Diceros bicornis minor: one gene and its partner. The protein of the gene in region 1 purifies or fractionates together with the protein of each later gene. This does not show direct contact. Links are inferred from orthologs where the notes say so. Each region holds a gene or a part of one and is shown on either strand. Other genes may lie near its edges. The genes, in order: RHEB and RPTOR.

Evidence for each region.
Region 2: the proteins of RHEB (region 1) and RPTOR purify together in Homo sapiens (affinity purification with western blotting, with the first as the bait; 3 studies listed by BioGRID). This does not show direct contact. The link is inferred for Diceros bicornis minor from reciprocal best matches to the Homo sapiens genes RHEB and RPTOR.

Annotation. Positions count from the first base shown.
Region 1 is NC_080742.1:97,129,155-97,140,972, reverse strand, and holds the start of RHEB (GTP-binding protein Rheb), read left to right. Parts: upstream 1-5,502; 5' UTR 5,503-5,726; coding exon 5,727-5,778; intron 5,779-11,818. UniProt on the Homo sapiens protein: Small GTPase that acts as an allosteric activator of the canonical mTORC1 complex, an evolutionarily conserved central nutrient sensor that stimulates anabolic reactions and macromolecule biosynthesis to promote cellular biomass generation and growth.
Region 2 is NC_080757.1:60,041,372-60,054,193, forward strand, and holds the start of RPTOR (regulatory-associated protein of mTOR), read left to right. Parts: upstream 1-6,711; 5' UTR 6,712-6,722; coding exon 6,723-6,884; intron 6,885-12,822. UniProt on the Homo sapiens protein: Component of the mechanistic target of rapamycin complex 1 (mTORC1), an evolutionarily conserved central nutrient sensor that stimulates anabolic reactions and macromolecule biosynthesis to promote cellular biomass generation and growth.

The DNA of each region.
Region 1 (11,818 bases):
AAGAGAAATAAAAGGACAGCATGAGGAAGATCTTTCTGGTGATGGGACAGCTACGTATTTTGATTGTGCTTCTGGTTACATAAATCTACACATGTAGTAAAATTGAATAGAACTACACACACACACAAATGAGTGCATGTAAAACTTGTGAAATGTGAATGAGTTCTGTGGATTGCACCAACTTCAATATCTTGGTTTTGATATTATAGTATATTTATGTAAAATGTTATCATCTGGAGAATGGTACACAGGACCTTTCTGTACTACTTTTGAAACTACCTGTTAATCTATCATTATTTCAAAATGCAAAGTTAAAGAAATGAAATAAAGGCAACTTTCAGATAAATAAATGATGAATTTGTTGCCAGACTACAAGAAATGCTAAAGGAAATTCTAAAGGAAAGGCTGAAGGAAACTAGGATACAGCCTAACTCCCAGTTTGTGAAGGCTGTACACGGTGACTTCCTTCCAAAGAGGACGGTGTAGAAAGGGAGAGAAAAAGAGTAACTTTCCAGTGGAGAAACCTGACAAACACAACCTCAGCCAGGTGATGGAGGTCAACATCAGCAGTGATGAGTCATGTTGATACTAGGCACCTTTGATATGATGTGATGAGAATGGCACTCTACCTCTGTGGTCTTCCTCCCCAAAACCTGTAACCCCAGCCTAATCATGAGAAGAACATCAGACAAATCCTATTGAAGAACAATCTGCAAAACACCTGACCAGCACTCCTCAAAACTGTCAAGGTCATGAAAGACAAGAAACGTCTGAGAAACTGTCACATCCAAGAGGAGCCCAAGGAGACATGACAATTAAATGTAAAGTGGGATCCTGAAACAGAAAAAGGACATTAGGGGAAAACTGAGGAAATCCGCATAATATAGGAACTTTAGTTAATAATAATGTATCAGCATTGGTTAATTCATTCTAACAAATGTACCACACTAATGTAGATGTTAATAATGGGGAAAATCGGATGCAGGGCACATGGGAACTCTCTATACTATCTTTACAATTTTTCTATACATCTAAAACTGTTCTAAAAAATAAAGTTTATTTTAAAAAAAGACTTAAGAGATAATAGTAACCAACTGCATTATATGGACTTTATTTGGATTCTGACTTAAAGAAACAAATTGTTAAAGAAAATTATGAGGCATGAAGAGACATTTGAATAGTCTGGATATTTGGTGGTATTAAGGGCTCCTTAATGGGTTTTGTTTGTTTTCGGTGTAAAAATGGCATATTTTTTAAAAGAGTCATCTTTCAGAGAAAATACTGAAATACTTATGAATGAAATGGTATGATGTCTAGGATTTGCTTCACAATAACCCATGGGTGACTGGGGAAGCGGGCAGCACATAGATGAAACAGGATTGTCCGAGACTCAGCAAACACTGGAGCAGGTGATGGGCCCAGGGTTCACTGTACTAATCTACTTTTATATGTGCTTGAAATTTTCCAAAAAAGAGTTTCAAAAAATTTGAAAGTCTGCCTTAGTGTTTTGGATGCTTAGTTTTTAAAGATCTTGCTATTTGTGAGGGATACTTCCTCTGTCATTAGCAAATATCCAGGTGTAATTACACTTAGTCATCATTAATGAAAGTGGATGTGAATCCATATTTTAAAAGGATTTTTACTTTTTTGTAAAAATTTTTGGTCATTTTCTTGCAAAATATGATTAGATTACCACGTTTACCTTTAATGTAGTTGGCAAAGAGCTCATACAAGGAAGAGGCGGTAGCCCTGCCATTTTTCTTAGTGTATGCGTATACTGCATTTTTATTCTAATTGTTAATTCATGGTTTCTTTGACGGAAAGCTTTTTTTTTTTTTTTTTAATAATTTTATTTATTTATTTATTTGTCCCCCAAAGCCCCAGCAGATAGTTGTATATCACAGTTGCACATCCTTCCAGTTGCTGTATGTGGGACGCGGCCTCAGCATGGCCCTACAAGCAGTGCGTCAGCGCGCGCCCGGGATCCGAACCCGGGCCGCCAGCAGCAGAGCGTGCGCACTTAACCGCCAAGCCACGGGGCCGGCCCTGACGGAAATCTTTTAAGACCCACAACCATTTTGTGAGATTTAATTTAGTTTTGCAGAACTTAGGTAATATATTCTGTAATTCCTCGGAACCAGACACATGAAAAGCAACACATTATACTATTCCGAACACTAAACATTGAGGGCAACACTGCCAACCCCTCCCTGTTGAGGAAGTCCCACCAGGATACCTCTTGTACCGGTCACGACGTGCCACCCTCTGTCAAACAAGAGACGAGGGTGCCATGGTCAATCCATATATTACATATTCGCAAAGCTCAATTATTTTATTTTTAAAATAAAAATGTTAACAAAACAGAAGTTTATTTTTTTTCCTGCACACCAATGGAAGAAACTCCCTGGATCTCCACATGCTGGGTAAAATCCAACACTGAGAACTCTTCACATAGGAGGAGGAACCAATAGTGAATATATCTGTCAAAGGGTAATTATAACTTTCAGTGGTTTATGAATACTGTGACTAAATTCCACATCTAAGGCACATTTGAAGAGCACATGTAAATGCAAGCCTTACTGGCAGAAGCCATCGCCTATTTTATTGAAAGGAAATAGCCTCCTGGTTCTCCCTGAGCATCCCCCAGGTGCTGTTGCACAAGCTCTTAGGAGCAGGTGTTCTGCTCCAGCCATCTTGACAGGCGACTACCAAGGACCCTCAGGAGACTTTCTCTGCTGGGCATGCAGCCTCTGCTGGTGAAAGCTCCTACTAGGTGCACTCTGGCTTGGAGAATTGGGGAGAAGGCAAATTTCATCCACAGCCCAGCAGAAACTAGATTTGAACTTTTAATGCAATTTTATTGACGATTTGAGGATAGTTGATGGATTAGTTTTCTAGGATCGCTATAACAAAGTACCACAAACTGGGTGGCTTAAAACAACATAAATCTATTGTCTCACAGTTCTGGAGGTCAGAAATCCAAAATCAAGGTGTCGGCAGGGCCGTGCTCCCTCTGAAGTCTCTAGGGGAGGATCCTTCCTTGCCTCCTCCAGCTTGTGGGAGCCCCAGGGATTCCCTGGTTTGTGGCAGCATCACTCCAATCTCTGCCTCTATCTTCACATGGTTGTCTTCCTTCTGTGTATGTGTGTCTGTGTCTCTTCTTCTCTTCTTACAAGTACACCAGTCATTGAGGGGCCCACCCTACTCCAGTATGACCTCATCTTAACTAATTACATCTGCAACAGTCTTATTTCCAAATAAGATCACATTCTGAGAAAGTTAGGACATCAACATATCTTTTTGGGGGACACATTCAACCCCTAACAGTGAAGAACAATTTACAACTACTGCATAGGCCCAGACCTGGCCTCAGAGCTCCTTGCTGAGCCATCCAGCTGGTCGCCTGGGGCTTCAATCTGCAGACCCGCAGGATGTGAATGCGCAGTCCCCCTCTCCAAGGCGTACTTCAACAGGATGGTGGAAGGATTTTGCCCTAGCGCCAGTGCTCTAACTCAACAAAGCACATTCCTCCCTCATGAATGGCCTACCTCCATGGACTCCAGCTGGCTTACTCCATTTCCCTCTTCTGGGAGCCCTCCATGAAACTCCATATCTCAGGGTTCAGGCCAGACTGATCCCTGGCTTCAGAGAGAAGAGGATCTTTTTTCATCCCAACCAGTGTAAGTTGGGGACTTGCCTTCCCCAGGATGGCCTCATTAGACTCCTGAGTTCAGGCCTATCAAGGCCCGGTTGAGGAAACTGCTCTGCCATCCACAAGACCACGCAATGAAATGACCTTGGCATGTTTCCCAAATCTGCATGTTTGGGTTTTTTTTTGGTGAGGAAGACTGGCCCTGAGCTAACACCTGTTGCCAATCTTCCTCTTTTTGCTTGAGGAAGATTGACCCTGAGCTAACATCTGTGCCAATCTTCCTCTATTTTGTATATGGGACGCCGCCACAGCATGGCTTGATGAGCAGTGTGTAGGTTCACGCCTGGGATCTGAACCTGCCAATCCCAGGCCGCCAAAGTGGAGTGTGCCGAACTTAACCACTACCAGGCCGGCCCTTGCGTTGTTTGGTTTTGTATAACACCCTATATGAGAAATAAGCACATTTATGGGACAGTCACCTCTAGATCTTCATACAGAGGAACCCAATCCTGCAGCTCAGCTTCGTAGGGGTTCCTTCTCTGTGCTCACTGGGAAAGGCAAAGGGCCGTGACCACGCAGGTGGTCAAACAGCCCGGGGACAACAGAGGACGCTCATTGCAGTAGCGGGCTATCTGCTTCTTTAGCAACCACTAAGGGTAAGAATATCTACCACGATGGAAAAGTCTCCCTGGCTGAAATCTCCCCATCACATCCTCATTGCTCAGGCCTGGGCTTGCACCTTCATTTTCCACAACCGAGGCCTCCCGGGCTGGCGTTCCTTGCTGTAACACCCCAATGCCTCTTCAGCAGCACCAGTGGGAAAAAGGGTTGTCAGCGCGTCTTTTGTGGGAAATACAACAGCGTCCCCTTACTGGAGAGGTCAGCCCACACAGGAGGGCGAGCCCAGCGTACTTAAATCCCCCCCCACCAAGAACAGTTCGGAGCGTTCTCAGCCAACAACAGCTGGTGCCTGTCTACCGAATTAGCCACGCAAGTGTTGACATTAAAGATGTATTGACTTGCGCTATTTATTTCCTGTGAGGTGTGCTGGGTCCGCAGGACGCAGAGTTGAGACCAGAACTGGGAAGGCGCACATTTTTTAATGAAATGCATTAACATTTTGAATTAATGCATATTCCATTCTTTCCACGGTCTTTTACTCATGGATGACGCTTAGTCACCAGCTACATCCTCAAACCCAGACTCACTAACGCCAATATAGCAGCGTTTCTTCCGAAAAAAACCAACCCGGAGGAAAAACCAACCAACCCACAGCCCAGCCCGTAACGGCCACGCGCCTCGCGCCTTTTAAGGGCTCAGCGGGCGCGAGTCTACCAACCGCTCAGAGTTCCGCCAATCACCACGGCTCCCAAAGCTTGTCCCGCCCCTCCCCCTGGTCTAACCAATCACTGGGGAGCTAGCTTCTCTCCGCCCCTCCCGCCCGCCTCCACCACTGAGACGCTCCGGGCCTTCAAACCTCCCTGGCGGCTAACGGCGCGGTCACAGCCGGATTTTATTTTTAGTTCCCGGGCCAGCAGCCCCGCCTCTGGCTCCGCCTCCTCACCGCCACCAATGGGAGACGGAGTTTCCGTCGCGTCATCGCGCGGGCGGGCGGGAGCTGTCCAATCAGCGCTCGGGGAGAATTGGCGTAATTAAAAAGCGGCGGAAGACGGTGGGAGGGACATGACGCAGCGAGTTTTAGTCGTGACTTTTCTGGGGGCATCTCGGCCTCCCCTCTTTTTCCCTTTACAGTAAAACGCCGTCGCCGCCTCCCCGCGTGCCTTCCGGGGGCGGGGGCGGGGGCGGCCGCCGCGGCGGGGAGGGCGGTGCTGACGCGGGTCGCAGGGGGCCGGCGGCGGCGGCGGCGGGCGGTCACGTGGGCGTGTTTGGGGGCGGGGCCGCGCGGCGGTTCCGGGCGGTTGAGCGCGCGAGCGAGGAGCCCAGGCAGCCGCGCCCGCCCGCCCCGCCCCTGGATGCCGCTCTACCCCGGCGCGGCCGCCGCCGATCGCAGCACAGGAGCCGGCGCCGTCGCCGCGATTGATGTGGTTGGCCCGGGGCTGAGGAGGCCGCCAAGATGCCGCAGTCCAAGTCCCGGAAGATCGCGATCCTGGGCTACCGGTCTGTGGGTGAGTGGCGGGCGCCGCGCGGCCTCCTCGCGCCGGGCCGCGCCTCTCCTGGGCGCCGGGACGCCTCGGGCCGGGCCAAGTTTGGGGCCGGCGCGGCCATGTGGCGGCCGCGCGTTTCGTAACCAGCCGCCCGCCGCCGCCGCCACTACCTCCATTTTGAGCGGAGGCGGTGGCGGAGGGCGGCCCGGGGGCGGGGAGGCCGTGTGGGGAGGCCGCGGGCGCGCGGGTGTCCCGGTTCGTGCGGGCCGGCGGCGGCGGAGCGTCTGCTGCTCTGCCGGCGCCGCCGCGGGCCCCTCCGAGGGACCCGCACCTGTCTCCGCCTCTTCGCGGCTGGCTGGCGGGTCGTCGCTAGCGGCTTTTCCGCCCCGAATTCAGTCAGGTCCGGGGGTTTTAACAAAGGGAACAGCACCTTGTGAGGTTCTCTGTGGTGGAGTTCAGCGTGTTAGAGAAAACCAGGGACCTAAAGGACGTTTGGCCTCTGAGGGCAAGCTTCCCACCGCAGAGACCCCGAAGAGCCCTCTTCGGAAGCCCCTAGGTGCCGGCAGCGGCCGAAATAGAAAGGCAGAGGAAAAGAAGTGTCTGGTGTCTCGGTGTCCTATTTTTCTTCGGGAAAAATAGGGTCAGGTACTTGTAACCAGGCTGTTGAAGTAATTCAAAAGTTGTTCTTTTTTTTTTTTGCCGAAAGGTTGACATGTATTTGAAACGGTTCCCGGCAGTCGCCTGCTTGCTGGACTGGGGTGGTCCCTGGTGGGCTCGGGAGTGGACAGGGCGCCAGAAAACGAGTGAGAAAACGGAACCGGTGACCTTAACCGTGCTTCCGGGTGAGGCGTTATTGTCTGACACCTGGAAGCCTGGGGAAATTACGCTTCTCTGTCCGTGTTGTTTTTTAAGGAGTAACTGTCTAAGGAAAAGGTCCGCTTGACCCTGGTGGGGGAAGGAGGGGAAAGCGAGGGGCTGGAGTCTGGTGATCGCAGGAGGCGGCAAGGATAGTTGCCGTAGGAAAGCTCGTAGCTGCCTGCCGCGCGTTGGATGAACTCCCCCGACTGCGCTTTCTCTTCTGCTTCCTCACCCCCATTTTCCACCGCCGGTGCCAGGGTCTGTGTTCTTTGACCAAGATCAGCTACAGCATGCTTACTCATCCTTTTCTCATCTCCGTCACGGTTCCGGGGGGGGTTGGGGGTGGAAATCGTAAGAATAGAGGGCAAATCAAAGGCTGAGAGACGCTTGTTTAGAGATGGGGGTTCCAGGAGTCGTAGCGGTAAGTCGCGTGTGATGCAGTGTCAGATCGTAGGTACACGTGGGGAAGGACTGGTGACAGCCTGAACAGCTGCAGCCATAAAGTTACGATGCATCAAATTGAGGCTTTTAAAGTCACTAACAGCCCACTCCCCAAATGCCGGTATGGAACCCGGCATCCAGCCTTTATTGGCAGCCTAAATCACCAAGCCCTTGCTGCTCTGTTCTTAATTTCCTCCTCTGCGTTTTGAAGAGTGGGACTTGGACATATCCTGCTCTTGAGTGAGCTCTATCACATACAGAGTGCCCACTAATTGAAGATCGCAGTCTCTGAATAGAACAGTTACAGGTGACCTGTACCTGGGCTACCCGATTTCAACTCAAGAGCATGTCCCAAAGGTCCTGACTTATTTACCCCTTGAAATTCTTGAGATGGTGATTCTAGCCTTCAGTAAGCAAGTCTGTTTTATCACTGTTTTATAAAGAAGTTCCTTATGTCCAGTTGAAATCCATTCTGTTTTATCTTCTTCTAATCATCCTCCTCCTAAAGACCCAGATGTGACAGGTCACCCCTTAAACTTCTCTTCACAAACGTTCATTTTAAACTGCTGTTAAAATACTGTGCTAAATTAGCCTCCAGTGGGATACAGAGTAAGTTCTAGTCCCTGTTTCCTATGCCCTCTGTAGGTCGTTACTAATCGCCTCCATTTTCTCCATATTTATGTTCAAGTGTAGGGATGATTAAACTAAAAGGTATTTTGGAGAGGTTAAATTACTCTCAATATTTGCATTTGATTTTAAAGCTATTTACCTTTGTTATGAACCGGGACAACTTGGAGTCTTTTGTTTCATTTTGTTTTGCCAGCATCAAAAAAGGGAGTGATTTCCTGATTGCATGTACTAGCCACTCTTCAGAGAATTATTCAGTATTCAGACTTGTAGGAGTTTACTGATGTGTTTGCTTGCAAACGGTGCTGTACAAGAGATATTTGAGTGTGTTTCTAGGTTATGTTAATTTGTGATGCTAAGCTGTTGTGGCATGTTAGGCTCAGCTAGAAACCACACCTTTCTTAGAATGTTCTCTTGATTAAATATTTTCTGCCAGTTTGACTAGGCGAATACTTATTTTGATTTTGTCACGTCACAAATTTTATTTTAAAAATTTGCTTTCAGGTAAAACTACTAAATACTATGATTATTTTACTACTTGGCTTTCAAATTTTGTGGTTTTTTTTAAACATTGATAAAACTACCAGTGAGGAAAACATAATTCTCAGGTAATTTAAAAGCTTGTTTCCGGAAGTACTTTTCCTGTTATTTACAATGTTAAGCTTTTAAGGACACGTCACCTGTAAGGCAGGCTGGCTTTCAGGGAGTGCTGTGTATTGTTTTAGTGGTGGCCAAATGTACCAGCTCCCTTACATTCATTGTTTCTAATACAAATGAGTAGTCCCATGACAGGAGGCAACTCAACTTAATCAAGTCAGAATTTTAGTGTTGCATAACTATCTTCAAATAAAATCTGGTACATCTCTTACTGGAATCCTCTACAGAGAGCTTTGATAATCTAGTTTACCATTAGACCATAATCACAAAGTTATAAGTCTCTGCGGTTAACAGGAGGGACGAGACCACAGGAATGTGAACCATCGTAAGGGAGAAAATGAAACAACTCTGATTTGGTAAAAGGCAGTTCGGCAAAAGTAACTCAAATTATTACCTCGTCGAAATGTTTTAGGTAGTAAGAAAGATGCATCCTTTGATTTGGATACTTCATAGGTAAAGATGTCATTAAATTTGTTCCCAGTAGAATACAATCCAATTATATTCTGATTTACTGTCTATTTTTAAATTATACTGTCCTTTTCTGAGACATTTAATTGAAAATTTAAAGATAAAACATTGTTTGCCGTGTATAAAATCTATCAGTGTGTGAAACTGTATGTTCAGGTGCTTAGTAACATTTTGAGGTTGTGTACTTGTGGGTGGGAGTAGTGCTATAGTGGCCACCTTGTGTTAAAGCTTGAAATTCACTTTTTTTGGTGTCATTCATTGTTCTGTACAAGAGAATAATCAGAGCTTGCATTTATGTTATTTTGATGTTCTTGTGGGTTATATCTATCCGTACTTACCTTCAGCACCCTGAAAAGAAACTCTTGTACCCACTAGCAGGCACTCCCTAGCCTTCCTTCACCTCAGTCCCTGGCATCCACTAATCTGCTTTCTGTTTCTCTGAATTTACCTATTCGGGGCATTTCATATCAATGGAATCATACTTACATGATCTTATGTGACTGGCATCTTTCATTTAACATAAATATTTTCAAGATTCATCCATGTTGTAGCATGTGTCAGTAGTTCATTCCTTTTTGTTGCCAAATAGTATTTTGTTATTCATATACTATATTTTATTTATACATTTGTCAATTGATGGACATGTGGGTTGTTTCTGCATTTTGACTATTATGCATAATGCTGTTATGAACATTCCTGTACCAATTTTTGTGTAGACATATGTTTTCGTTTCTCTTGGGTATATTCCTAGGAGTGGAATTGCTGGGTCATATGGTAACTTTGTGTTTAACATTTTGAGGCACTCTCAAACTGTTTTCCAAAAGTAGCTGCACCATTTTGCATTCCTACCAACAGTTGAAATTGGCTTCAGTTTCTCCACATCCTCACCAATGCTTGTTATTGAAGTACTTTTTGATTTTAGCCATCCTTATGGGTGTGAAGTGGTATCATATATGATTTGCAAGTAATTTCTTCCATTCTGTGGGTTGTCTTTTCATTTCTTGATGGTATCCTTTGAAGCAAAAAGTTTTAAAATTTGACAAAGTCCGTTTTATCTATTTTCTCTTTTGTCACTTGTGCTTTTGGTGTCATATCTAAGAAACCATGGCCTAATCCAAGGACATGTAGATTTACTACCATGTTTTCTTCTAAACGTTTTATACTTTTAGCTCTTACATTTGGGTCTATGATCTATTCAGAGTTAATTTTTGTGTGTGTGTGAGGAAGATCAGTCCTGAGCTAACATCAATGCCAGTCCTCCTCTTTTTCCTGAGGTAGACTGGCCCTGGGCTAACATCTGTGCCCATCTTCCTCTACTTTATATGGGACACCGCCACAGCATGGCTTGACAAGCGGTGTGTCAGGGTGTGCCCGGGATCCGAACCTGTGAACCCCGGGCCTCTGAAGCTGAGCGCTCGCACTTAACCAGTAGGCCCCCGAGCTGGCCCCTAGAGTTAATTTTTGCATATGGTGGGAGATGGGAGTACAGCTTCATTCTTTTGCATGTAGATGTCAAGTTGTCCCAGCATGTTTTGTTAAAAGCCTATTCTTTCCTCATTGAATGTCTTGACATCCGTGTCAAAAACCAAGTGATTATAAATGTAAGGGTTTATTTTCGGACTCTATTCCTTTGATCTCTGTGTCGGTCCTTATGCCAGTATCACGCTATCTTGATTACTGTAGTTTTGTAAAAAGTTTCAAAATTAGGGAAGTATGAGTCCTCTAACTTTTCCAGATTGTTTTGGCTATTCTGAGTCTCTCGCATTTCCATGTGAATTTTAGGACTAGCTTATTAATTTCTGCAAAAAAAGCAACTGAGTTTTCATAGGATGTTTTGTAGTTTTGCAAGTATCTTTAAATGTCTGGTTTAAAAAACAACTGAATTCTCATATCTGCTTCTGAATTCATTGAGTTACAATATGTTACTCTAATGAAGTACGGATATGAAGGAAATCCGGCCTTGCATGGATTCATAGTTGGGAAAGGGAGGAGTATTTTAATAGCTTTTTCAGATAATTGTGGATATTCTTTGATACTCACCAAAACTCCATAGGTGGTAGTTTCTTAGAGGTTATTGTAGTATGCAATCTGAAATTATGTGGATGAATTTTTTTCTACCATGTTACATATAACTCCATTCATTTGCTTTGCACTTTGAATGGATCTTCTACCCATGCCTGATTTTATAACATCATACATTGGTCATTTGGAAAATACGTATTGGTTCACTATTACACAGATTCTTCCACATTTTGACGTTTCTATATATAAATACCTTTTTAAAATCAAAATTTTTAATATCACCACCAATCTCCTCAAACATTTAAATATTAGGAAGCTGTTAAGCTCTCCATAAGTAATGCAAGTTTTCCCAAGTTTTAATTTTCTCTTCAGAGTTTGAATGTGATCATTGGGAAAGTGCTACTAGTTTTTCTTGAAGTGACAGTTTCATTTCCAAGAAAATGTCTGCCAGATACCCACATTTGAAATAATGATAGTTTGTTGGTCATTCTTGCAAGTAAAAATGGTGTTCCATGATAAAAGTGTTATTTCAGATCACTTCCCAAACAGTTGCACAAGTGCTGTTCCTCAAGCCAATCATCCTACTTCCATATGCATCCATCCCATTTTGTCAGGTGGAATATTAAAAAGACGTACTTAAGGGTCAGATTTAATACAATTAATAATTGTTACTGCTTCAAGTACTGCTTTACTCAAGTACTGCAGTACTCAAGTACTCCTACTGTTAAATGAAAATGGCTTTTCTTTTTTTTACTGTGAGTGCATGGTAGTGAATAATACAATGACTTTTCACTACAGTTTGTAACCACCATCTTGATTCATGCTAAGAGGTACCAAGCCAGTAGTTTTACCTACTATTGCTTTTGCAAATTAGTGCTGATATGAACGTGGTGAAAAAAGCAAATAATATCTTAGTATTGTTATGAAAATAGTTTTGACCTCATGAACCCCCCTGAAAAGGTCTTAAGGGACCCCCAGAGTTTCACAG
Region 2 (12,822 bases), on another chromosome or scaffold:
CATGTCTATAATACATATTTATAATATATACTGGAAGGCTATTCAAAGAAATAGTAATAGCAGTTATGTCTGGGAAATGGAATTAAAAGTGTTTTTTTGTTCTTATCTTCAAAATAATGTTTCAGAATAACGTTATTTTTTAATGTAAAAGGCAAATAGATTTTTAAATATATAAATGCCAGAAAGAAAAGGCAGAAAGGAAATACACAAAATGGGAGCAGTGGTTACTGTGGGACTGTCGGGACTGTGGTTTGAGGCGTCATTTTAATTTTTTTTCTTCATTCTTTTTGACATTTTCCAATTTCCTCCGGTAAGTATTAATTACTTTTTATTTGTTAAATTTAAGAAAAATTGTCAAAGTGCTAGGTTACACTGTTGAAAGTGTAAAATAATATTTCTGGGACTATAAAGCAGGGAAGGTGTCAGTCCTTGGCCCCCGTCCCGTGTCACCCACCCGCTGGAGCAGCTGGTCCATGTGTTTGGCTGTTTCTTGTCATATTCGCCTCAGCATTTCTACACGGCGTGTTTACAATCTCTGTCTTCACTTTTTAAAAATGAGTTTACGGCCTTATCCACTGACATCTCCCGTGAAAAACCAGACATCCCCTCTTACGTCTCCCTCCCACCCCACATGTAAGGCTTTTATTTAGAAAAACAATTAGAATTATTCAAAAAAAGGAAATCCACTTTTGAGGCTCAGGCACACATGCTGTGTTTTCCGTGAAGACTTTTTAATCGACCCAGATGGAATTTATCTTTTACAGCAGTTTGTTAATAATAATAGCCTTTCCTGAGTGTTTGCATGTGCCTGGCATTAGCTCATTGAATACTTACAACATCTCTATGAATTAGAAACTATTAATTTCCCTATTTTGCACATGCAATTAGCACCTCTCCCAGTGTCCCAGGACACGAAAGTGCCAGAGCAGGGATTTGAACCTAGGTCGGCGTGACTCCCAGGGGCACGAGGAGGTGCTTGTGGGCTCCCGGGTCCTCGCCTCAGGCTGTGCTGGTTGGTCTCTCCCCCAGCCCTGGCCAGCAGAGAGATCTTGAGAAAGCTCTTTAATCGTTGTGTATCTCAATTTCCCTACGAGTAAAATGGACCCAAAACAGGAGCCTTAAATGGGTTATTAGGAGGATTAAATGAGTTAATTCTCATGAAAAGGGCTTGGCTCACTGCAAACATTCACTCTCTGGATTATACTATTTTAGTTACAGGCACAGTCTCTAATCCGCCTTATTAAGGCAGAGGCAATGGCTGTGCTGACCTGGGCTCCCCCAGGACCTCGTGTTCTCTGAGAACCTGAGAATCATTGATGAGATGTGAATATTATATAAAATCACAAATGAGGAGTTTAAAACGAGACAGCTGGTTATATTATTTGTATTTTCATAAAGGTAGAATCTTATTGTAGGCAATGCTATTAAAATAAAAGATTATAAAATTCAGTTTGCGTATTTTTTATTGGATAACAAATTTTCTCAATATAGTCTCTATCATAAAAGCTTTCCTTTTCTTTTCTTTTTAAACGCTTTGTCTGCACTGGGCGTAGACCACTTCTCAGTGAATTCTACCTCCAGGGTCCTGGGGGAGGAAGGAGGGTCCTCACTCTAATGGAACTTGTGACCTGGGAGAGACACTGGCCTGCGTTCCCTCTCCACAAAGAATTCCCGAGGGCCGTGGACATCGGTGTCTGATCCAGTGAAGGTGTGGAGCTGGGTGCACCAGGCCATCCAGACTGACCGCTCGGAGGGCCTGTGCCGGAAGCCAGGCTCACTGGGAACTGGGCCTGGAGCACTTTTGCTTCAGCTCCGTCACTCCCCACCTTGCTCCAAATTCTAGGCTCCCCAGCAGGCTCTTCACTGCCCTACACAGAACAGCCCTCTGAGCGGGGAGGAGAGGGCTAGGGGTGCAGGCACAGTCCTGTGAAGACTCCACTCTGTTCTCTTACCTTGTGCGTTTCCTGATGGGCTCTGCCTTGCGGCTGGCTCTTTAAGGCTGAGGCTATGCAAAATTCTCAATTCTGAAAGAACTGTGGATAGTGGGTGAAGTTAATTTAATGAGCGGTGCTTTTTACTATAGTCCCATGCTCCTCAGGGGTCACCCCCTTTTTAAAATGGAATAACATTGTTGTTTGTTTCTGCTTATCAGAACCATACATGCTCAGTGTAAAAAAAAATTATAAATAAAATAGAAAGGTATACCGTAGGGGTGACAATCACGTACACAAATATCACTATATTTTTAGATGGATGCAATGGTAGGAGAGGGAGGCAGACTCGTTGAGGCCTGTTATTTCCCTTTCTTTCCTCTCCTCACTTCACTGTCAACAAAACATCTGACCTGCAGAGGGGGGTGGCTTGGAATTTGCTAAAAACAGAAGTAATGATGCTCAGACAAAAGCAAAGTACTTTATATCTATTTTGGTTTCTTTTAAGCTAAGCACAGATTTCTCTGGAAAGAACGGAGCTGGCTGGTCTCCCTGTGTGGAAAACAATAGCTCAGCGAAGCACCTGGTTTTCTCCAGTTGCTTGACCTCCAGTCTCGCTCCTGATTCTTGATGACAAAACACATCGAATGCCCTTGATTGATTTAGCAGAGAAACTGCAAGATTGGAGGAGGACGGAACGCAGCCGGTCCTGCCTGCAAATGGAATACCTTGGCTGTGATGGTCTTGTGTTTTGAGAGAAGATAAGGTCGGTTGCGGGTGGGCCAACAGCTGAGCTTGGAAGCTGTGAAAATCCAGCCACCATAGTTCTTCCTGGGCAACATGCTCGGTACCCAAGGCATTTATTCAGACCCTCTCCCTGCCCCAATTTCCCCCGCCATGTTTACTCCAATTTCTGTTGTATTTGTCCAACACTCTTAGGTTTTTATATTCATTCTCTGCTTACTTTGCTTTATCTTTGCCAAATAGCCAAAGTTTTAGGGCTGGAAGGGGCCATATGGTCTCCTTCACATTTCAGGAACAGGTCCCCGCCTCTCTGTACCGGCAGGTCAAAAATTGTTCTGCTGTTTCAGGTCAGAGCTGGCCCTTAAAGCCCTTCCTCTCTTCTAGTTCTACATCTGCAGCCTGGTGTTCACCACCAGGAGGGCATCAACACCCTCCCCCATTTTCATAATTTGAAAATCAGACCAGGTTTTGTGCATTTTTTGAAATTCATAAAACTTGTTTTCTAGATTAAATTATTTTATTTAGAGGTTTTGTGGAAAGCAGGAGCTGTCCTTGCTTGTGAAGAACTGGAGACATTGGAAATCGGAACTGCAGGCCCAAGTGGCCAGCAGATCACACAGCGTGGTAATGAGATCACCCAGGTGAGAAATATTAACCCTTGATTTTCCAGCCTATCATTAGTCACAGATGCTCACTGCCCTCCAGAAACCTGGAGCTACACTTCCAAATGCTTATCTGGGGGGCCAGCCCAGTGGCGCAAGCGGTTAAGTGCGCTGTGTGCTCCGCTGCGGCGGCCCGGGGTTCCCCAGTTTGGATCCTGGTGCGCACCAAATGCTTATCTGGGACTTGAACAGAGTCATCCAGGACACACTAGAATGAGGTTTCTTTTAAATGTCATGATGCTGTGAAATGATTCAAGCCCAATCTTGAAACTTCTAGTTGGGAGCTGGGCTGTCACCAGCCCCTTTCTGGTTTTTACATGAATCACAGAACTTTGAACCTGAAGTGTCCTTAGAGATTCACCTTCTTCAAGTTCCTCCTGTTACAGATGTGGAGACTGAAGATAGAGAAGGGCAGAGGCGTTGCCCATGTCTGCAGGATTTGGTGGTGGGCTGGGGACTGGAATATGTGTATACTGACCCTCAGTTCAGGACATGGACCCCAAATGGCCTCTTGGTTCTGGAGTCACATTGTAAAACAGTAGAGGGTGTGTTTTGTTCTGTAGTTTGGGGGAGAGGGTGAGTCTTGTTCTGATTTATTAGATGGAAGATTGCATAATTGCTTTATAGTATTCATTTATTCAGTACAAATATTAATTGAGGGCTCACCATGTGGCCGGAATGGAATCATTGGAGGAGAATATTGTCTAATATCCCTAGAGAGACTATTGTCCAATATTCCCAAATCTGGCTGATGTTAAGCTGTCATCAAGGTTACCTGACTAAAAAATATAGATCCTGAATGCCTGTCTTCCCACTCCCTGTGGTTCAGTAGGTCTGGGCTGGGACCTGGGCATCTTTAGTTTTAGTTTCCCAGGTGATTCTGATGACCTGCCAGGTTCGGGTTCCATGGGCTCCTTTACTCCTTTCACTTGGAATATCAGACAAGGTGAGTGGATTTCCCAAGGTGACACACACTTTACAGGTGAGGAAACTGAGTCTCACACAGATTAAGTGGGTTTTCCCAGGTCACAGAGCTAGTTAGGAACGAGCGGGTTTAAGGCTGTTGCTTTTCTGTAGCTGTGGCTTCCTGCGAGAGTGCCTGGAGCAAAGTTCTCTGTAGCCCAGGGGATCATGGTCTTCACTGCTGTGTGCTGCAGGGGTGACAAGGCAGCAACAGGAGTTATGTTATTGACTTCAGGTGAGAATAGGGTCTTCTCAGGACCCTGCAGTCCCATAGCCTCTGCTGGTCACTGTGGGGATATTTTGCCAATACAGAAGGCAGGGAAAAGCAAGGTTTTAGCCTCCATCTGTGTTTTGATGAATTTGCTCTGAGTTTTAGTGGGAGAATTGGGTCCACTGCAATGTAATAACTGAATGTTTGGGATGATAATTATTTAACCCAAGAACTTTTATTAAACACTTGCTATGTGCTAGGCGGGAAAGATCTGGGATTGCACTATTCACTTGGATGTTGAAAGGAACACAAATGCTATCAGGATTTTGATATGGACTGCCCCTTGTGTCAAAGCCCTGGTAAACCACACTGAGAAACAGTATCTTCTAGAGCCCAACCTGAGGTTTTAGATTAATAAAGCGCATAGGGTTGCTAAGTTTCAATGGCTACAGAACCATCACTGCTAGCATTGTATTTGGCGCTCGCTATATACTAGGCACCTTCACGGGTTAATTTTGTCCTTCAAGGTGGGTATTATTACTCTAGATTTATAGCTGAGGAAATTGAGACTGAGCTAATTAAGGGATTGACCAAGGTCACAGAGATGGAAAGGATACAGCTGAGATTCAGAACCAGGTGTGCCTGACACCAAAGCCCAAATGCAGAGAGGAAGGCGAGCCTCTTTGCCCCTGCTTGGCTTTATCTAAAGGTCACACGTGCATTTCACTGGACACTAAGTTTATTGAAGGCAGGCACTGCATGCTGCATTCATTCGGTTTCATAATCCCTCTTGCACTGGACACAGTTCTCCACACATTGTAAATTAGCAGTGTTTACCAAATACAGAAAAAACGCAGGAGGCATGCCCCCACGCATAGAAATCCGCAGGTTTTAGTTGTTTACACATGAAGCTATCTCAAAACAAAAATCAACTGCTGAGAAAATAAGGTGGATTAAACAAAAAATTGTAATCATTGAAATTAAATTTTTCACTTGGTGTTCCCTGAAAAAATCAAAATCTGATTGATACTGTAGAGGATACTACGTGCAAAACAACCCACAACTCTATCTTTTTTTGTAATATTATCAATGATTCTTTCTGAAGCTTTTCCTGCCTTTTCAAAGTCTGGAAGAAACAAGAGGCTTGATTCCTTTAATTTCAGAAGCATGTAGGTCCATTTGTAATAATAAAAAGATTTTATCAAAATTAATTAAATGAATACAGTTTCATTTGTAGGATTGACTTTGATATTATGGATCTATTGAACGAATGGCGACAAACTCTGGAAAGCTAGATTGTGGCAGCCATGGTAACGGGGGACGGGGACTTCTCTCGCCGCATCCTGGGAAGCGCGGCCAGAACGCTCTGAGGAAGGTTGGCCTGTTAGCCACGCCGTAGATCGCGATGCATGCCGGGTCTTGGCAATATGGCGTCCTCCTTGATGTGCTGATGAGAGGAGTTTCACTGTAGCTTCAAACCAGAGGGCAAAACTCCCCAAACCCAGTAAGCCTACATTACTCGTTTTCTCCGCGGCTCCGGGTCGCTCGTTTCTCAGGACTCGTTCTCGGGCAGGAGGGAGCCACGGGGCCGAAGGCCAGGACCGGCGAGACCGCGCGGACCTGGGGCTGAGGAGCCGGCTGCGGGCGAGCACGATGGGCCGGTCCTGGCTCTGGTTGCAGCAGCTCCGGCGATTGCGGGACCCACAGGGCTGAGAGTGGCTGGAGGAGACCCGAGGCGCTCTGAACTTCTTCCCCTCGGCCGGAGACCTCAGCCCAGTCAGCGAACCGGCACCAAGAGCGGGCGGCCTGCCTGTCCTCGAATCGGCTGAGGCGTTGGAGGCCGAGAGCAGGGTCATCGTGAGGCCTGGAGTCTCACACGCCTTTGACAGCTCCGCTCGCAGCCCCTCCGGGGACGTACAGCCTCAGAAGCAGCCAGTGGCTTGGGATCTGGGGGCGTGTGTGTACGTGCGGAGCTCCTTGGGCTGCCCCATTTCCCTCCAGCTTTTCCCAGCCCCTCCGACTTCCCGCGCAGAGTTAAAGAGAAGGATCTCACACTTTTTGCCTGAATAAGGGTCTCCGCATACTCGCATTTCTTTTTCTACTCCCTCTTTTTCTGTTTCTTATTTCACCGATTCTGGTATACGCTAGTTTTTAAGGCTGGAGGTTCTCGAGCGCTTGCTGCCAAGGACTCCACCACCCCCTCCCCCCCTGATGGAGTCCGAGATGCTGCAGTCGCCTCTTCTGGGACTCGGGGAGGAAGATGAGGCCGACCTTACAGACTGGAACCTGCCTTTGGCTTTTATGAAAAAGAGGCACTGTGAGAAAATTGAAGGCTCCAAATCCTTAGCTCAGAGCTGGAGGATGAAGGATCGGGTAAGTGGATTCCAACTGCGCCCCTTGGAACCTGGTAGTCTTTTCACGGAAGAAAGTTCGGAGTTAGAAGAGTGTCCTTGGGAAAGCGGCGATATTTTTCCCAGCCACATGTTGCAAGTTAACTGAAAAGCACAAAAACCATTTCAGACTCCAGTTTTGGGTTGTAAATGGAAAAGCGTGTTTTGGTTAGTAGTTATTCACTGGATAGTGTTAATTCCGTTCAAACTTAGTTCTAATTCAGATAATAAAGGTTAAGTAAGTTCGAAAGTACCGCACTGCAAGTATTTACACGCTCTTTGATACACTTAGTGCTGTTAACACGTGGAGGAAAGACAACTTAAGATATAATACTTGTGTCCACGTGGTTAGTCTACTTTTGTGGTTAGTTTACTTTTTTTGTCCATGCTAGGTGAAGTGCAGAAGTCTAATATAGCATGCTAGGAAACGAGATTACTGACAAATGTTTAGCTAGTAACAAATTAATGCAAAGTTATTTTAAAGTTACAGTGAACTTTATCTAGCCTTCTAAACAATTTGTCTTGAATCCAGACTTTCCTCCTTTTATGTTGTGTTATGTTGCTATAACTTGGAGACAGAATTTCTCCAATCTCTCACTCCCGTAGTGGAGTGAGAGTATAATGGATTGGAATTTGAATCCAGCTTTTAGGAGGTCCCCATGGTGTTGGAGTGTGGACAGTGACTCACAAACAGCTAGTAGGAAGGAAAACAGCCAATTTTGTTGAATCTGCGCTTAATCAACCACCATCTATTTCCTGTTCTCCAAAAGAGCGGGGCTATCTCGTCTATGCACACTTATAATTTGTCTTTTTATGAATTATTTTCTCCTTCAAAACTGTCTTTATTTATTTGAACGTTTTAGTGGTATCAGAGGGGTAATTGGTGTTACAGTACAATGTGATTGCTCTGGGCTTATGAATATGTTTATGTAAGATTATTGTTTTTATTATATGATGTTGGACATATATAAGATTACTCTATGGTAATTCTAGTTAGTCACTAGTAACCAGTGCTTCAGTTAGTGATTTGGCTTACTTTTAAAAGGTTAGGAAAATTTGTTTCCTCCAAAAGTAGTTTAAGGAGTAAAAGAGGTGATCATTGGAAGAGAATGTATAAAGTCTGCCTTATGGACATCTTGAGTACAAATTATATAGTTCAAAACTTTTGTGGTTGCTATGCATATATGAAAAGAAATTTATTTTAAAGTAACCATCTAATTTTTTTTTCATTCTATTAGGAGGGCATTTTTTTTTTCTTTTGAAATGTGATTCCCTCTGCTACCCTAAACCCATGCTCAAACTGTCCAAAACTGATTAATGGATATATTTTTGACCTTTTAATTAAAGCATTAATTTGTTAATGATCAACATTCCCTGATAAGCTCTTCATAGGTTAAGAGAAAGAAAAGTTCTATGAGTCTGAGTAATTACTGAGATTACTACTTAGAAAAGAGCCAAGGGAGAAAGTTTGCTGTATATGACCTTTGCAAGTTGTTGAATAAAGAAGAGAATCAGCAGCTAATGTTTTTAGTTAAGTTTGTGAGAGCATGGCATCTTCACAGTCTTTGGAGACTCTTTCCCCTGGTTAGACCCTGGGGGTACCTTTTAGGTACACCCAACTAGGATGAAGGTTGCAAATTCCAGTGATGCTAAGAGTTGGAAGGTAGCCTAAATGAATGAAACAGGCAGGATATAAGAAGAATAATGGCATAGGTTCAAAACCGACATTTGATTCGTGTGTGATTTTCTGGAGGGTGTGAACAGCAGGGCTCTGACGAGCACATGCCGAAGCAGCTAAAGGGGCAGCTGGGCCTCGGCCAGATTTCTCTCCCTTTCTCTTGCTCTCTTTTTCTTTGAGAAGCCAGAAAACTTTTTTTTTTTTTTTTTAATGTGAAGTCTTTCAATTTTAAAATATTGGCACTAATTCAGATATTACAAACACAAAGTAGTCCAACACTGTAGGCCAAACAAACCCAGTTTGTGGGGTTGGTTCTGGCCAGTGGGTTACCCGTGTGTGACTTCTGCTGTAATATGGCAGCTCCAGGCAGCCGCTCTGACTCGAGGAATCCTGAGCACACAGGCTTTCAGGCCAGATTGTCTCCCTGTGCTGGAGGTGGCCTCCAGCAGTCTGATGGAGCAGCATCTTTGTAAAGCAACACGTGTGGGCCCAGTTGTCCTGTACTAGGACCTACACAGACCACTTTTCTTGGTGGGCTGTTGACTGCTCTTTTTTTTTTAAGAATTTTTTTTTTTTTAATTAATTTATTTTCCCCCGAAGCCCCGGTAGATAGTTGTATGTGATAGTTGCACATCCTTCTAGTTGCTGTATGTGGGATGCGGCCTCAGCATGGCTGGAGAAGCGGTGCGTCGGTGCGCGCCCAGGATCCGAACCCGGGCCGCCAGCAGCGGAGCGCGCGCACTTAACCGCTAAGCCACGGCTGTTGACTGCTCTAACTGAAGTCTGCTCCTTCCTGTGATTGATGTACAGATCCATGTATGTTTATTTTGTGTATATATTAGTGGTTACCTTCTGGTGTCCTATTTGGTGGAGTTGTTAAGGATTCCTGAAATTGACATCTTTACTGAAGTTGACTGATGACGCCAAAATGTTTTCTACCACTCAACATTTGGCATCCTTATAGAGCTACAGCACATGCCCACTCTCAGTGGGGATTCCCATAGTCTTTGTTTTGAACCAGTCTGGTTTTCAAATGCCACTATTTTTGCGTTTTAATTACTGTTACTGTTAATTTAATACTGTTACTATAAAATTAGTTTGTTGTGTGGTTAATTCCTCTGTGTATGGTGAATGATACGTATATGCATCAATAGCATTTTTGTCTTGTAATTTTCAAATAACTAAATTATATGAATTACAGTTCAAAATGAGTCATTCATAGACCTATGGCTGAAACAGATGTGTATATATCTCCCCCATTTGTGTTTTACTGTGATACTTTATAGTTGTCACAGAGTTCATTTTCCCATTGGAAAGTGGGCATGTGGGGATAATTGGATCTTTTGCCTTGCACATATGGAATGGAATCACAGAAGCTTGAGAGCTATTTCTCTGAAAGAAAACCATCGACAGACACACTATACCTACATGTGTGTAGAAGATGTAGCTATAAAACGATGAAGCCGTTTCCCAAACCAGTCTCTAGGCTTAGTTGCCTTGCTTTGTAAGCTGCACTTCAAATAAACCACGGAGGAAGCCAAGTAGATACATTAAACTAATATATGGACCAAAAAAGGGTAAATAGTAATACTTTATAATCCAACGTTACTCCCTCTATAGATTCCTTGCCTTGCACCCTCTCGCAGTCTACTCCAGTTAGGCTCCCTTCCTGGGCTCTGAAACCACCCCCAACACGGCCATAATTTGTTGCTAAATATAAAGGTCACTTCTCTGTCATTATCTTATTCGATCTCCCAGCAGCATTCCACAGTGGACCACTCCCTCCTTCATGAAACTCTTTCCTCACTTGATTCTGTGTCTTCCCAGAACTTCAGTTCTTCCTCTGAGGTCTCTAATCGCTCTTCCTCAGACTCCTTTGCTGTTTTTTTTTTTTTTTTTTTTTTTTGAGGAAGGTCAGCCCTGAGCTAACATCCATGCTAATCCTCCTCTTTTTGCTGAGGAAGACTGGCCCTGAGCTAACGTCTATTGCCAATCCTCCTCCTTTTTTTCCCCAAAGCCCCAGTAGATAGTTGTATGTCGTAGTTGCACATCCTTCTAGTTGCTGTATGTGGGACATGGCCTCAGCATGGCTGGACAAGCAGGGCCTCGGTGCACACCCGGGATCCGAACTTAACCGCTAAGCCGCGGGGTTGGCCCTCCTTTGCTGTTTGATGGCTGAGTGTGGATTGCTCCGGGACTTGATGTTGGACCCGTTTCTCTTTTCTATGTACGCGCCTTGCTAGCTGATCTCATCTAGGCTCGTGATTTTAAATGCCATCTACATGCCAGGGACTCTCAAATCCCCATTCTTGATTCTGCCCTGCCCCTGGAACTCCTGTCTCAGATACCTAATTGCCTGCGTTTTCTCCATCACAGCACACCGCCACCACCACCCAGTCAGTTGTTCAAGCTGTAAATCTAGAATTTATCCTTAATTCTTTCCTCTTCCTCTCCTCATTGCCTTGTCACCAGTCACCAGTAGAACCTGTCAACTTTGCCTCCAAAGCGTATCTTATGTTGGACCACCTCATTTTGTCTCCACTGCTGCAAGCCCAGTCTGGGCAACTACCATCTTTTGTCTGGAAGACTGCAGTTGCTTCCTGACTGGTCTCCCTATGTCCACTCTTGCCCCACAATTGATTCTTCACGTAGTGGCCAGAGGGATCTTTAAAAAGTGTAAATCAGATTTCGTTACTTCCTACCGGCCCTCTCCACTGGCTTCCTGAGTACTTGGAGTAGAATGCAAATTCCTCACCCTGGCTCACGGAGCTTCATGATCTGGCCCTGCCTGCCTTTTCTGCTTCTTGAGTGGAAAGGCCTGGAATGCTCTTTCCGCTAATCTTTGTACACCTGGCTCCTTCTTGTCCTTCGCACTCAGCTGCTTGGTCACTTCCTTAGAGAGACCTTCCCCATCTAAAGCAGCTCCTCAGTCACTCATGATCACTCTTTATTTCTCTGATATTTTTCTTTATTTTCACACCTCCAGAACTGAGCTTTTCATCATAAAGCAAGGACTTTGTTTATGTCGGTACAGAGGACAGTGCTTGGCACATAGGAGGGATTCACTGAAAACATACTGATGAGAAAATAGATAGTTTACAAAGGCTTGCACCTGGATTATGTCTCTTAAGCCTCCATAGCCCTATAAATTAGTTAGAGATCTTTATCTCTATGTGACTGATGAGGAAGTTGAGGCTTTAATTAAATGGTTTGCCTACAGTGACATAAGTTACATAACTAGCAAGGAGAGGAAGTGGAACTTGAGAAACAAAGCCTGGTTAAAAACAAACAAAACCGTATCACAGTATCTTGACTGAAAACTTCATATTGAGAGGCCATGGAGTCTAAAACAAAATGTATGGGGAGATGACTCGGGTGGTGGCAGGGCTACAAAACCAGACGGAACAGTGCTGGTGGCGCAGCCCAGCTGTTTGCTCCTGGGCTCCAGGGCTTCCCCCAACACTGTCAGGGGGTCCACGAAGTCGACACTGTTTTCATAATAATGGAAAATGTCATTGGCCTTTTCCACTGTGTTGAGATCTGCGCTGATGGTGCAAAAGTGACGGTGGGTAAAACTGCTGGTGCCTTAGCACGAATCAAGATGGTGACACCAAACTGTGCTGGTAGTTATTGTTTTCTTCACTGCCATGCACTCGCAGTAAAAAAAATTTCAGTTTCACTTGAGAATGCCCTTGATAAAGCAATAAAGTTTATTAGTTTTATTAAATCTTGGCTCTTTAGCACATGCCTTGTTAATACTTTGCTTGATGACTTTGCACAATGACGCTCTGCTGTGTGCGTGGTTGTCTTAGGAAGAGCACTCGTGGGCTGCAGGCTGAACTAGCTGTTGCTTTTCATGGAACACAAGCTGGACCTGTAAGGTGCTGATAGGCCAACTCTGGGCACTCAGAGGCTTGGGTATTTGGCAGACATTTTCTCGAAAATGAATGAAGTGAGCTATCACTTCAAGGAAAACAACTGACAGTATTTGTTGTCAGTGATAAAATTTGAGCTCTCAGTGAAAATTAGAGTTTTGGAAAACCTGTATCTGCCACTGTGAGCTTCACAGCTTCCCAGTTCTCATAGACTTTTCTCATGAGCTCATGGTGATACTAATGACTCTGATTTTTTTTTTTTTGTTTTGATATTGTAGAATGAAATGTGTCCCCATTTGGAACATCTGCATAATTCAGTGAACCAATATTTCCAAATGACCAATCCATGTTATTACAAAATCATCCAT